Saccharomyces cerevisiae S288C: one gene and its partner. Changing the gene in region 1 together with any one later gene gives a genetic interaction. Each region holds a gene or a part of one and is shown on either strand. Other genes may lie near its edges.

Region 1 (8,351 bases):
TCATTGTAAATAAGTTGTTTGATAATAAGGATATTTCTTCTGTGTTCATACATGATATCATGGGAAAGCAAGAAGGACCTAACATCAGAACCAGTCCTTTCCACGATCAAACATCCATAATTACCCAAAATATGGTGCAGGTCTGAATCAGCCCACACATGAGGCTCGCCCATGGATTCGATAAGATCACCGCCTGCCAATAACATGATTTTTACGCCCATTTTTTCACCATCTACAGTCATGATTCCACCTCTCTTGATATTTATTTCATGATTGAAATGGTCCAAGACTTTTGCTGTCCTTGTATAACTTGATTGTAAAGATTCCCAGGCATCAACCATTAACCAAGATGATGTCCGCTCGCATGCTAATTCGCACATGCGGACACGATGATAAGCTGGGGCTAACCCTCGCTTTTGATAGTTATCACTTACTGGAGAAAAATAACCACCAACCACTTCAAAACGCGTTTGCTCATTGATATCATCTAAAGCCATTTCAAACATTCTCAAATGTAGGTATGTTATGGGAGAAAATGATCCACAAGCAACGATGATCAGAGGCAGTTTTTCAGGATCTTGTAACTTTTTCGTCAATCTGTGTACAGGAAATTCGTAATCTTCAATAGTTCTGGCTTGTCTTACAATTGTGTGAGGAACTTCTTCCAAATCAGCAATTTGGCTCTTCAGTACCCCCAAATTCCCAGTCATCGTAACATCCTGTAGAGTAGCGTCAATTCCATTCGATTGCCCTTCACTTTCCTCCTCCGATGATACATCCCGAGATAGTGGCTGGAAGTCACTAGTATTTAATGGAATATGGTCCATTCGGTTGCTTGAGTTGGCGTTTTTTTTCCTTGACGACAGGGTTTTGTAAATGTCGAGATTGAAAGGAGCATCGATCGAAGAATTATAATCAGCTAAAACATATGGAACTATGGGTCCAGATTTTGGTATCGTATGTGTTGGATCTGGCGGTGGTTGTAGTTCTTCATTTGGCTGTGGCGGTTTAAAATCGGGTGCTTTGGTGGGATCCATTACGTAATAAGTGCACTTTTTCTTGCCTTCTCCACTTTAAACTCTCTCTCTCTCTCTACTTAACAGTGGAGGAACAGTGACTAAGGTAGAGTATGATTGTACTATAACTTACAGTCTACTGTCGTCACGCTGGGTCAATTTACATTGTTATTTTTCTTGGAGACGACACCGTCACATATGGACAGCGAGTATGGTAGATGGTATAAGCAAAAAATGGCCAGAAACAGGCGATTATTTGGTAAAACGTAAAGATTGATCAAGACGATAAGTTTGAGAGATTGTGAAGCTAAATAAAATCGTATTGCGAGTATTTTACATTCCATATACGAATAGTACGATATCCATGTGGGGTGCGACTCAGAGACTTTCTATTACCCGTCTTTCAAAAAGAAATGAGATACGTTGATCCTGCTTTTAACAATTTCGAATCGTTTGCGTAATTATATGACTTGCTCCGGTGTATAAATAAATAAAGTACATTCTTGGTACTCCTGAACCTAGCCTGGAGTAACTCGGAATAATACACCATTGACACCAAAAGAATGGGATTAAAGAAATTTTTTAAGATTAAGCCTCCAGAGGAAGCGACACCAGAACAGAACAAGGATACTTTGATGGAACTGGGTATTAGTGTCAAAAACCCTAGCAAGAAAAGAAAAGAGAAATTTGCCGCCTACGGTAAATTTGCAAATGATAAAGCTGAAGATAAGGTATACGCGCCACCAGGTTATGAGCAGTATGCTAGGCCACAGGATGAACTTGAGGATTTGAATGCTTCTCCCTTAGATGCCAATGCTAACGAGGCAACTGCTGGTTCTAATAGAGGTTCAAGTGGCACGCAAGATCTCGGAAATGGAGCAGAATCCAATTCTATGCAAGATCCGTACGCTATCGAAAATGATGATTACCGATATGATGACGATCCTTATGCAAGGTTTCAAGCTAATAAAAGTAATGGGAGAGGTAGCGTCAATGCTGCGCCTTATGGTGATTATGGAGGGGGGTACAATGGCACATCTCTGAATTCATATAATAACGATGGCCCGTATAGTAACCAAAATACTTCAAACAGCTGGGTGAATGCGAATGGCCGTAATAGTTTAAATCATTCAAACAGCACTTTAAACGTAGGGCCTTCGAGGCAAACAAGGCAACCGCCGGTTTCAACGTCGACCAACAGCTTATCGCTTGACCAAAGAAGTCCCTTAGCAAACCCGATGCAAGAAAAGAGAAATCCTTACGCTGATATGAATAGTTATGGCGGGGCGTATGACTCCAATACTAATAGATCTAGCGGTACTCGACAAGGAAGCTCCAAGAATGCAAATCCATACGCCTCTATGGCGAACGACTCATATAGTAATGGAAATTTGAACAGGTCTGCAAATCCATATTCTAGTAGAAGTGTGCGTCAACCGCAATCGCAACAAGCTCCAATGACTTATACGCCCTCTTTTATTGCTTCTGATGAAGCAGCACGCAATAGTGAAGTTGATTTAAATGAAGAACCTAGAACAGGTGAATTTGATTTTGAAGAAGTTTATGCTGACAAGTCTGCAGAAAATAGAGCGGCATTAGATGAGCCTGATTTGAATGCAGTAATGACGAATGAAGATTCAATAGATTTAAATGCGTCCGAAGTTGATCATAGTTCAAGACAGCAGCAGCAGCAACAGTGGTTCATGGATGAGCAGCAACAGCAACAGCAACACTTTAACGCAACAAATAACCAATATGGAGATCAAAGGGGTTACAAAACATTTGAAGAAATACAAAAAGAAGAGGAGGCTCGCCAGCAGCAGGAAGAAGATGAAGCAGTAGATGAAATCAAGCAGGAGATCAAATTTACGAAACAGAGTTCCGTAGCCTCTACTAGAAATACACTAAAAATGGCTCAAGACGCCGAAAGAGCAGGTATGAACACATTGGGTATGCTGGGTCATCAAAGTGAACAATTGAATAACGTAGAAGGAAACTTAGATTTAATGAAGGTGCAAAATAAAGTTGCAGATGAAAAAGTTGCAGAACTAAAAAAATTGAACCGTAGTATATTGGCTGTCCATGTTTCTAATCCGTTTAATTCCAAGAGAAGGAGAAGGGAGAGGGAAGAGCAGCTGAAGAATAGGAAAATTGAAGAAAAATTAATGAGAGAGCAAACAAGTCAACAATTGTCTCAGTCCACTCAAAGAATAGAGGGTGCTATGAACGCAAATAATAACATAAGTGAGGTGCGGGAAAGATATCAGAGGAAGAATGTTCTAGAAAAGGCAAAGAGATATCAGTTTGAGAATGATGAAGAAGATGACGAAATGGAATTGGAAATTGATAGGAATTTGGACCAGATTCAGCAGGTTAGCAACAGATTGAAGAAAATGGCCTTGACCACTGGTAAAGAATTAGACTCTCAGCAAAAACGTCTCAACAACATTGAGGAAAGCACTGATGATCTAGATATCAATCTCCATATGAATACCAACAGGTTGGCAGGTATCAGATAGAATATGCCTGTAAAAACTATGTAATATATCACAAGTAACAACATTTCATCACCATTACTACCATTATGTAGAAATTTATGAGCAAAGACAAATAAGTAAAGAAAAAGACATTGATATAATATAAGAGTATGCTTTCTTCATTTTAATGTTTGGTTGTGAATTGAAAGAATACCATTCGGGCACGCAATAGTTATGAACTTAACCGAGCTCAAATAATTTAAAGATAAAAGATAAAAGATAAAAGATAAAAGACAAAAGAAAATTCATAGCCCATGTTGAAGTATCCCAGCGGGAAATGTTGCTATCCAACAGAAAGTACCAAGCCAGTTTCAAAAAGGTACAGAATTAAGTGATGCTATCCGTCCCACAACTAATTTTCTCCAGCGGAGGAAATATACGCGGAGGGGGGGAGGAAAACCTCTCAGTAAGCAATGAAGGGATAGATAATGGGGGCGCGCCTGCCTAGCTTAGGCTAAGAAACTCCTTCGAAAACAGGGGGCTGCGAGCGCAGAAGCGAACACTTGTCATTTGTATAAAAGGACTATTTATAAGTTTGCTTTTTGTCACTCTCTTGGCCCTAATTACCCATACTATTGTAACAATTGTTGTGTAAACTCAATTATACAAATAAACGAACAATCAACAGTAACAAACCGCTCAAGTGTACAACCAATCAGAAAAAATGACGAGAACAAACAAGTGGACCGAACGTGAAGGAAAGGCTGATCCAAAGTACTTTTCGCACACTGGTAACTACGGTGAATCTCCAAATCACATCAAGAAGCAAGGTTCCGGCAAGGGTAATTGGGGTAAGCCAGGCGATGAGATTGATGACTTAATTGATAATGGTGAAATACCCCCAGTGTTCAAGAAAGATAGAAGAGGCTCAAATTTGCAATCGCATGAACAAAAGTTTGAAAACGTCCAAAAGGAATGAGGGCGTTTTCAAGATAAAAAAAGGTTTTTTGATCTCTGAAGGATAGTGGCCTTCTCCACTGATTTATATGCATCTATAGGTATATACTTGCATGCCTACTTCATGACTTATGTAATACAGTTTTCTTACATCCATTTAATTTACGTTCGAAGAAGTTTTCAACATTTGTTTATATGGACATTCCCTTTTTTTGGTTCCTCGCAATGTAAACCTCCCTTTGCGATTCCACCCTCTTCACAATAAGCTCTTTAGTCAAGTATTCACTGAATTTTCCGGCAGCAGTGAGGACAGCCGTGCCAATATGATACTTCTCGCAGTTATACTGAGACATTGAGGTGGCGTCAGCATCGATAATAACGGCATCAACATATTTACAACTTAAAACGCTCAAGACGCGTTCCTTCATCGTCATAATGGTACTCGAGTAATCGCTTGTGGTAATACCAACAATCAATTTCTTATCGGGGTGAAGATCCATTTTCAGCTTTCTTAACTGATCAATATCCCCCATATGGAATAAGTCAAAATCCCCGTCAACATAAACACAATCTTCTGCATCGAATTTGTATCCACCATTGACCAAGACATTGTCCAAATCCCTCTGAAAGACATAACAATGTTTTGAAACGGCATCTTGGGCGACAGAATAGAAACTCAATTCCTGGGTGGTGGGATAATAATCAGGATGAGTCGGTGGCAAAGATTTTTTCGTCAATATTCTATGTATAATCTCGGTAGTACTTACGCCATATGTTCTTTTAACTACCTTGAAGCGCCCCATCTCTTTCACCAACTTATAGCAGTCTTCTCCATTAGCATCTATGGTGATATCATCACCATGAACAACATATTGGCACTGATATTTATCCATCCAATTGGGATCTGTAACATATGGCGCCGCTTCAACCACTTCCGAACACCACCTATTTGATCTAGTATGCTCATATCTTTCTGAAGAGTTCATTACTGGTGTTCCTTTGTTATGCTGAATATCTTCATCGGTATGCACACCACAGAATAGTTTACCATTTTCTTTTGAAACTGTTCGACGAGCCTGCAAAATGGCTCCCGCATGCCCATGATGTGTGAAATCAAAGCAGCCGTCTATCCAAACTTTATCCGGATCTAAGTTTACCGTCATCCAGTCAGTATATTTCAAGTCCCGATCCTGTAAAGCATTTGTCTCTGGAAAATTGAACAAAGGCTATCAACATCTGCATTCTTGCTTCTTATTTTGGCCGCATGATATCGTGCCACGCGATAACGAAAACAATAGTTCAACAATTAGGCTAAGCTATCGTGGTTGCTGGTATACCATTCTTCAAAAGTTATTAATCTTTTAATACTGGTAATCCATAATCGCGTTCTTTCATCAATCATTATGTTAGCAGCATTCCGGCCTCCTTGAATTTTCGAATGTGCACTACGAGCATGAATGCCTACGCTAGTAACACCAATAGGCCAGGCCACATTGCCGATACTGAGTTTCATATAGGACTGAACGGCTAAATTTATTTCTTTAGGTTGTTGTAAATGATAGAGAACGGTCGCAAGGGAAATAAGTAAATCCGGGGCAAGCTGGTTCCTTCGTAGTTGCAGTAGGAGTGGAAAGAGTGCTTTTTTAGTGTCTAAGAACAGCTCCGGATGATAAGCTTCCAAAGACGCCTTCCAACGAGATAATATTTCGTGAATATATAAATTACATTTCATTGACAAAAGAGGTTTTCCTTCAGTAGAACCAATTTGTGATGGATCAATGATTACAGAGATGGTTTTGTCTTGAGCTATCGCTTCTTGTATCCTTTCTGGCCGATTTTCTAATTTGCTAATGGTGGTCCTAATATCGTCACTCTGATTGTCTGACAGGTTTTCTTCATCTGTACTTTCTTGTTCTACCTGTCGCGGTGTTTCGTCTATGTTTGCGGATTCATGTGGCTGGAATTTCTCAGTGCATGGTGGCTGAACACCTTTAGAGTTGGCCAGCTCTTTCTTCTTCTTAGAAATTTCACCTTTTAAGATACTGGCTAGATCTAGGTCCATTTTATGCTCTTATTACTTGTAGAGGAAAAAACATTGAAGTTCTTTCCATTGGGGCCCTTTCCAAAGGTCGATTCTCTTCTTAACTTTTTCATCTTCCCTTGCGCGAAATGAATAAATTATCAGGCTTGAAATTAGAAGAATAAGACATATGCTGTTGGCTTCAACGCATAACGCAATATTAAGAGTAAAATAGAAGACCAACTTAACACCATGAGCAGTGGTTCAGCAGGGGCACCAGCACTTTCTAATAATTCCACGAACTCTGTCGCGAAGGAGAAATCAGGTAACATTTCCGGTGATGAGTATCTTTCGCAAGAGGAGGAAGTTTTTGACGGTAATGATATTGAGAATAATGAAACCAAAGTTTATGAAGAATCCTTAGATTTGGACTTGGAACGTAGTAATAGACAAGTCTGGTTAGTTAGATTGCCCATGTTTCTAGCAGAGAAATGGAGGGACAGAAACAACTTGCATGGCCAAGAACTGGGTAAAATTAGGATAAACAAGGATGGGAGTAAAATCACACTTCTATTGAATGAAAATGATAACGATTCTATACCGCACGAATATGATTTAGAACTTACAAAGAAAGTAGTAGAAAATGAATATGTTTTCACAGAACAAAATTTAAAGAAATATCAACAACGTAAAAAGGAGTTGGAAGCAGATCCTGAAAAGCAAAGGCAAGCTTACCTGAAGAAGCAAGAACGTGAAGAGGAACTTAAGAAGAAGCAGCAGCAGCAAAAACGTAGAAATAATAGAAAAAAGTTTAATCACAGAGTTATGACAGATAGGGATGGTAGAGATAGATATATACCATATGTGAAGACGATTCCCAAAAAAACCGCCATTGTGGGTACAGTTTGCCACGAATGTCAGGTTATGCCATCAATGAATGATCCTAATTATCACAAGATTGTTGAACAGAGAAGAAATATTGTCAAGCTTAATAATAAGGAAAGGATCACAACTTTGGATGAAACCGTTGGTGTTACGATGAGCCACACAGGTATGTCCATGAGGTCAGACAACTCGAATTTCTTGAAAGTGGGGCGTGAGAAGGCCAAGAGCAATATTAAATCTATTCGTATGCCAAAGAAGGAAATCTTGGATTACTTGTTCAAGTTATTTGATGAGTATGACTACTGGTCCTTGAAGGGGTTGAAGGAACGTACTAGGCAACCTGAAGCACATTTAAAGGAGTGTTTGGATAAAGTTGCCACTCTAGTGAAGAAGGGCCCATATGCATTCAAATACACTTTAAGGCCAGAGTATAAAAAGTTGAAAGAGGAGGAGAGAAAGGCAACCTTAGGTGAACTAGCTGATGAGCAAACAGGTTCCGCTGGAGACAATGCGCAAGGAGACGCGGAGGCTGACTTGGAAGATGAAATAGAAATGGAAGATGTCGTTTAGTTGACAATCAGATTTTCTTCATTAATTTTATATTTACGCAGTTTCTTGAGCCCTATATATACTCTTTTTAAAATTTACAGTTTTGTTTAATTTATTATGTCTCTATTAGTTTTGGCTATCTGTACATATGTATTTAGATGCATTGAAGTTCCGTAAAAGAATGCTTGCTGGAATAAGAGACTGATGGAGAACTTGCCATAACCGCGCAGATACTTTAAAGCACAAGATTGAATTTGTGCTCCATGCAGCCAATGAAAGAAACTCTGAGATTGCTGTGTGCCCTTGCACCGACCAGTGTGAACGTTGTTGTCCATATGGGGCATGCACTCATTATAGAGAAGGAGACATTGAAACATCAGATATTTGTATTAATTTGCTACTGTCCGAGGAAGGTATGATATGCACTTCATTTGCTGTACTAAATGA
Region 2 (4,439 bases), on another chromosome or scaffold:
GATGGTGAGTAGTAATACTTTCGTTGACGCTAGCATTCGAATTCCTTAACACAAAAAACACAACAATGAGCAGTAAATTAGTTATTACCAAGACTCTCACGTTTCTTTTGTTTATAACAATAGCCATCTCTAATTTTCTTCAGTTGTTTTGCGTTTAATTTGAAAATTTTGCTTCTTTCCAATATATAGGTTTTTTCTTTTATTTGATTCGAGCTTTTTCACTGAGGGGATATGTACACATTGGCAAATATCCTGCCGAAAGTACTTCTTTATTTTTTTTCAAAACGCAGTCCCACTTACCGGTATGACGTAGTCTCGATTCTCAAATACACCCGGGACTGCATATTTATACATCTGTAGTAAAGTCATTTTATATGGATTGTGAAGGAAAAAATTTACATAACTGGAAGATAAATAAACATAACTATGTAAGGAATAGTAATAAGAATGTAGAAAACGCCAATGGAAGTTGTCCAAACTATAGTCCGACCCGTTGCATATTATTTACCGGCAATCGCCTTATCATGAGTAGATTCTAAAAATGCTAATCTATCGGTGATGTAACCACACACTCTTTTCCATTCCGTTTTATCCTGCCCTAAAAGGTCATCGAGATATTTGAAAGGATTCTTATTAACACAAACATATTCGTTTAAAACCTTGAAATTCTCTAGTTCAATATCGTAATTTTTTACCTTTTTTAAGGCCGTATATGAACGAGCAGGTTTACCATTCGTAGTCAAAAAATTGCTTTTAGATAAATCGTATGGGTCAAACTTTGGGAAGTTTGAATGGATGAACATAACATCTACATGATTCTTGGCATTTAAGTCCTCGTTGTCGAAAAATTCTTCGGTGTATTTTTCGAGGGAATAGTTTTTGTCAAACTTGATTGCATCAGCTGATTTAGTGCCACCGTATTTGTTGCCAATGCTCTCCATAGCATTTAAGTAACGGCCATAATCCTGCACAAAGTCGTGTTGTAACATTGCTACACCATGAAACCCGTCTTCATCATGGTAGCCTTCAACGCCTGTCCTTGTTCTAACTTGGTAAAATGATAGACCATAAAAGTTTGCAGCGGCAATGAAAGTTTCCTTATCACCTTCACCAGCAGCTTTTTGAGAAAATATTGGGTAGTACCACGTTGGTCCATTGACGTTGTAGAATAAAGATAGAAGAGCCGTAGCCAAATGCTTCGTTTTGTTTATCATCAGTTGGCCGGATTCCGTAGACACGTCGGGTATTGTTCCGTCTAGGTCACTTAGCGGGACGTCACTCAAATCCTTCAAATCCTTTGTGTAAACAGCAGGTGGGGTGATATCGTCTCGAGAATTGCGAACTCTCTTTTTCTTGTCCACAGCAATACCTGCAATGTCGTAATACAATGGGTGAGTTGTACGCCTCCAGAAATCGGGCCACATGACCAAGCCCGTAGACACATATGGTTCTTCATTGAATATGTTGTCTAGGGGTTTGATGGGGAAGTTGTCAGCATCCAGTAAGAGCAGGTTTTCAAAACTAGAAGCGATAAGGGCCAATGATTTAAACTGGTATCCTTTGAAAACAAATTTTTCAATCGTCTCTCGTGGTAGAATATCTGAAACGTAAATACACTTGGAGTTATACTTAGGCAGAATCTTGTTACAAAACTCAGTTTCACCTTCATCACCAGGAGGGATCAGGACTTCCACAGGTAACGTGGTCCCCATATTCCTTAAAGTCTTAATGATCAAAAATGCCATAAGGGAGAACTTCCCGCCACCCACTGTGGCTATACCGGACCCTTTGTACGTACCCTTTGGCGAGACGAGAGTCGCTATATGCTCTACGTAGTCCTTATGGCTTTTGGTCAGACTTGCTACTTCATCCGGAGATAGTTCCAAACACTTGGACAGCTCCTTAGCAGACAACTTGTAAAGATCTTTGTAGTGGTCGGGACGGTCTCCAATGTCACCCTTTAATAAGCATGCCTCGTTATACTGCTTTGCAGTACTCCCCTTGGGCGAATCAACCATTAGAAAGTTGAAAACGTTGTTGTAGAAGCTTTTCAACTTTTCATTGCCTGCCTCATCATTGTCCCTCAATGGGGTTGAATCGTCAGCGCTGGCGGCGTCTGAGGAAGATGAATACTTATTGGAGTAACTCTGGACATATCTGTCTAAGTACTCCTTGTACTCCTTGACCGACGTGTTCTCATCCATGTATTTGTTTGTAATGACGAACAGCCCGCACAATATCAAAACTATGAACGTCAGCTTGAACAGCTTTGAAAACCTTTTGGTAAGCAGCATACTGAAAATATAATTTTACTGACCTACCTACACTGATTTGTCTCGAAGTAGATATGATACCTTGAGCAGCACGAGGATATTAAAAAGTAGGGCAATTCTGCTTTTAACGTATAAGCAACACCAAGTACACGTAATTTATTTTGATGATTCTTCTATATTTTTTTTTTCTTCATTGTTATTTTTTCACTATCTTTTTCATCCCTCCGCAAAAGGACGCGATCCTTTTTTAGCACGTGAACGGTAATAACGGGTCCTGGACGATGTATTAGAGTCACCTAATCACCAAGCGAGCCAATGGCGACTCACTTGACTTGCATGTTTGCATAACCTATTTAGCGAACCCTCCAACTTCTGAGCGCACCAGCTTAACTTGTGCGCTAAGCTGCCTTGCCCGACATAGTGCCATCGCTCATTCCACCTCACACCTGATTAACTAAAAGTTTTAAAACTACGGGACTGCGAAAAAGTAGAGCTACGTTACTGCAGACCTACAATAATTGCACACATCGGCCTGATAACGAATGCTTCTAAAATTCTACTGTGCTACTATCGGCTGGTCGCGCCCGACGGGTTCGCTCAGCCGCTCTGCGCCCTCTTACTCTTCAGCCATTCTGCTGCGGCCGAAGCTATAAAAGTATGTCAATTTGGCTTTTTCCAAAATCCCCCTCTGGCTCTTTCTCTTCTCAAGACAAGCATTGAAGAGACTCACTAGTAAGCTTAAGATAGTCCTACACACAACCACCATGTCTGCTAACGATTACTACGGCGGAACCGCCGGCGAGAAGAGCCAATATTCCCGTCCCTCCAACCCGCCACCTTCATCCGCTCATCAGAACAAAACTCAGGAGCGTGGATACCCACCCCAACAACAGCAGCAGTACTACCAGCAGCAGCAGCAGCATCCCGGATACTATAACCAACAAGGATACAATCAGCAAGGGTACAATCAGCAAGGGTACAATCAGCAGGGCTACAATCAGCAGGGATATAACCAGCAGGGATATAACCAACAAGGCCATCAACAACCAGTCTACGTCCAACAACAACCACCCCAGAGGGGTAACGAAGGTTGTCTGGCTGCATGTCTGGCTGCATTATGTATATGCTGCACCATGGATATGCTATTCTAAGAGAACCCGCAAAAGTATTCAAGAATGAAAAAAAAAAAAAGAATAATCTCCCCTTCTGTTCTTTGCAGTTGCCTTTCTTCCCCTCAGTGTTATTTTTTTTCACAAGGAGATAAAAAAAAAAACTTTAACATGTCACTTTAAGCATGTATGTAATACGTCTATTAATTATATGTAACTTTTATAACTATTTTCATTTCTATGTGATCCATTTGCAGTTATGCACCTTTTTTTTTTTTCCGAATTGTGCTATGTATATATCACTAGTAATAATGTACCAAACTATACAAACACGTAGGATACAGTAAAAAAAATTTTAGCTGGTGAACTGTTGTAAGAAGGAGATTTCATCGGGCGTGAAATTTATTGCAGAAATTTGGGCAGAATGGTTCATCAAAAAGGTGTAGATCTCTTGCGCAAAAACATTCGCCTCTACATTGCTTGAAAGGCCCGTAACAATTTTATGAATGGTATCATTACTCATTGTGACCTCCGTGCTGGTCAAATTGATAATTTTCAGGAAACCCATGTACGCGCTACTCTTTTCCTCTACATCGTCCAATGCGTTAACGGACAAACACCATTTATTCCAGTTGGAATCATTGGCAAATGCGCCAGAACTGAAAACTTCAGGGTGTGTTAGCCCCATTTTTCCGATGGTCACAGACAAGTTCTCCATCACAGAGCTGTCTACGATTTGTGTGTTGGTGGTAAATAAATCTAGAATGATTCTAGACATATCAATGATATAAGTATTCAAATCGATACGTTCGCTTATCAAACCAAGCGCCCATATCGCATTTATCACAGCAGGAGTACCATCACTATCGTCGTTATGCATTATTTCCGTACCAATCAACTTCAAGAAATCCTCCAAATTACCAATTACCAGTTCCGAATTGAAAAAATATACAATATCTCCCAACAGGGCAAAGCAGCTTTGTCTTACTTCATGGACAGGGTCCTGCAAACATTCTAGCATGATTTTCAATATCGTTAAATCCTTCGTCCCTTGAGG

Evidence for each region. A genetic interaction does not mean that the proteins touch.
Region 2: mutations in SEC9 (region 1) and MNN2 together harm fitness more than expected from each alone (negative genetic interaction), as found in Saccharomyces cerevisiae (3 studies listed by BioGRID).

Annotation. Positions count from the first base shown.
Region 1 is NC_001139.9:504,231-512,581, reverse strand, and holds SEC9 (Sec9p), read left to right. Parts: upstream 1-1,579; coding exon 1,580-3,535; downstream 3,536-8,351. Other genes in the region: nicotinamide-nucleotide adenylyltransferase NMA2, read right to left, coding at 1-1,037; STF2 (ATPase-stabilizing factor family protein), read left to right, coding at 4,218-4,472; ECT1 (ethanolamine-phosphate cytidylyltransferase), read right to left, coding at 4,642-5,613; mRNA splicing protein PRP18, read right to left, coding at 5,757-6,512; transcription factor IIF subunit TFG2, read left to right, coding at 6,723-7,925; PEX31 (peroxisome biogenesis protein), read right to left, coding at 8,256-8,351. UniProt on the Saccharomyces cerevisiae protein: Component of a SNARE complex that may be the effector of SEC4 function in exocytosis.
Region 2 is NC_001134.8:267,210-271,648, forward strand, and holds MNN2 (alpha-1,2-mannosyltransferase MNN2), read right to left. Parts: upstream 2,295-4,439; coding exon 501-2,294; downstream 1-500. Other genes in the region: glutathione-disulfide reductase GRX7, read right to left, coding at 1-127; cysteine-rich palmitoylated domain-containing protein CPP1, read left to right, coding at 3,038-3,424; KAP104 (Kap104p), read right to left, coding at 3,738-4,439. UniProt on the Saccharomyces cerevisiae protein: Alpha-1,2-mannosyltransferase, responsible for addition of the first alpha-1,2-linked mannose to form the branches on the mannan backbone of oligosaccharides.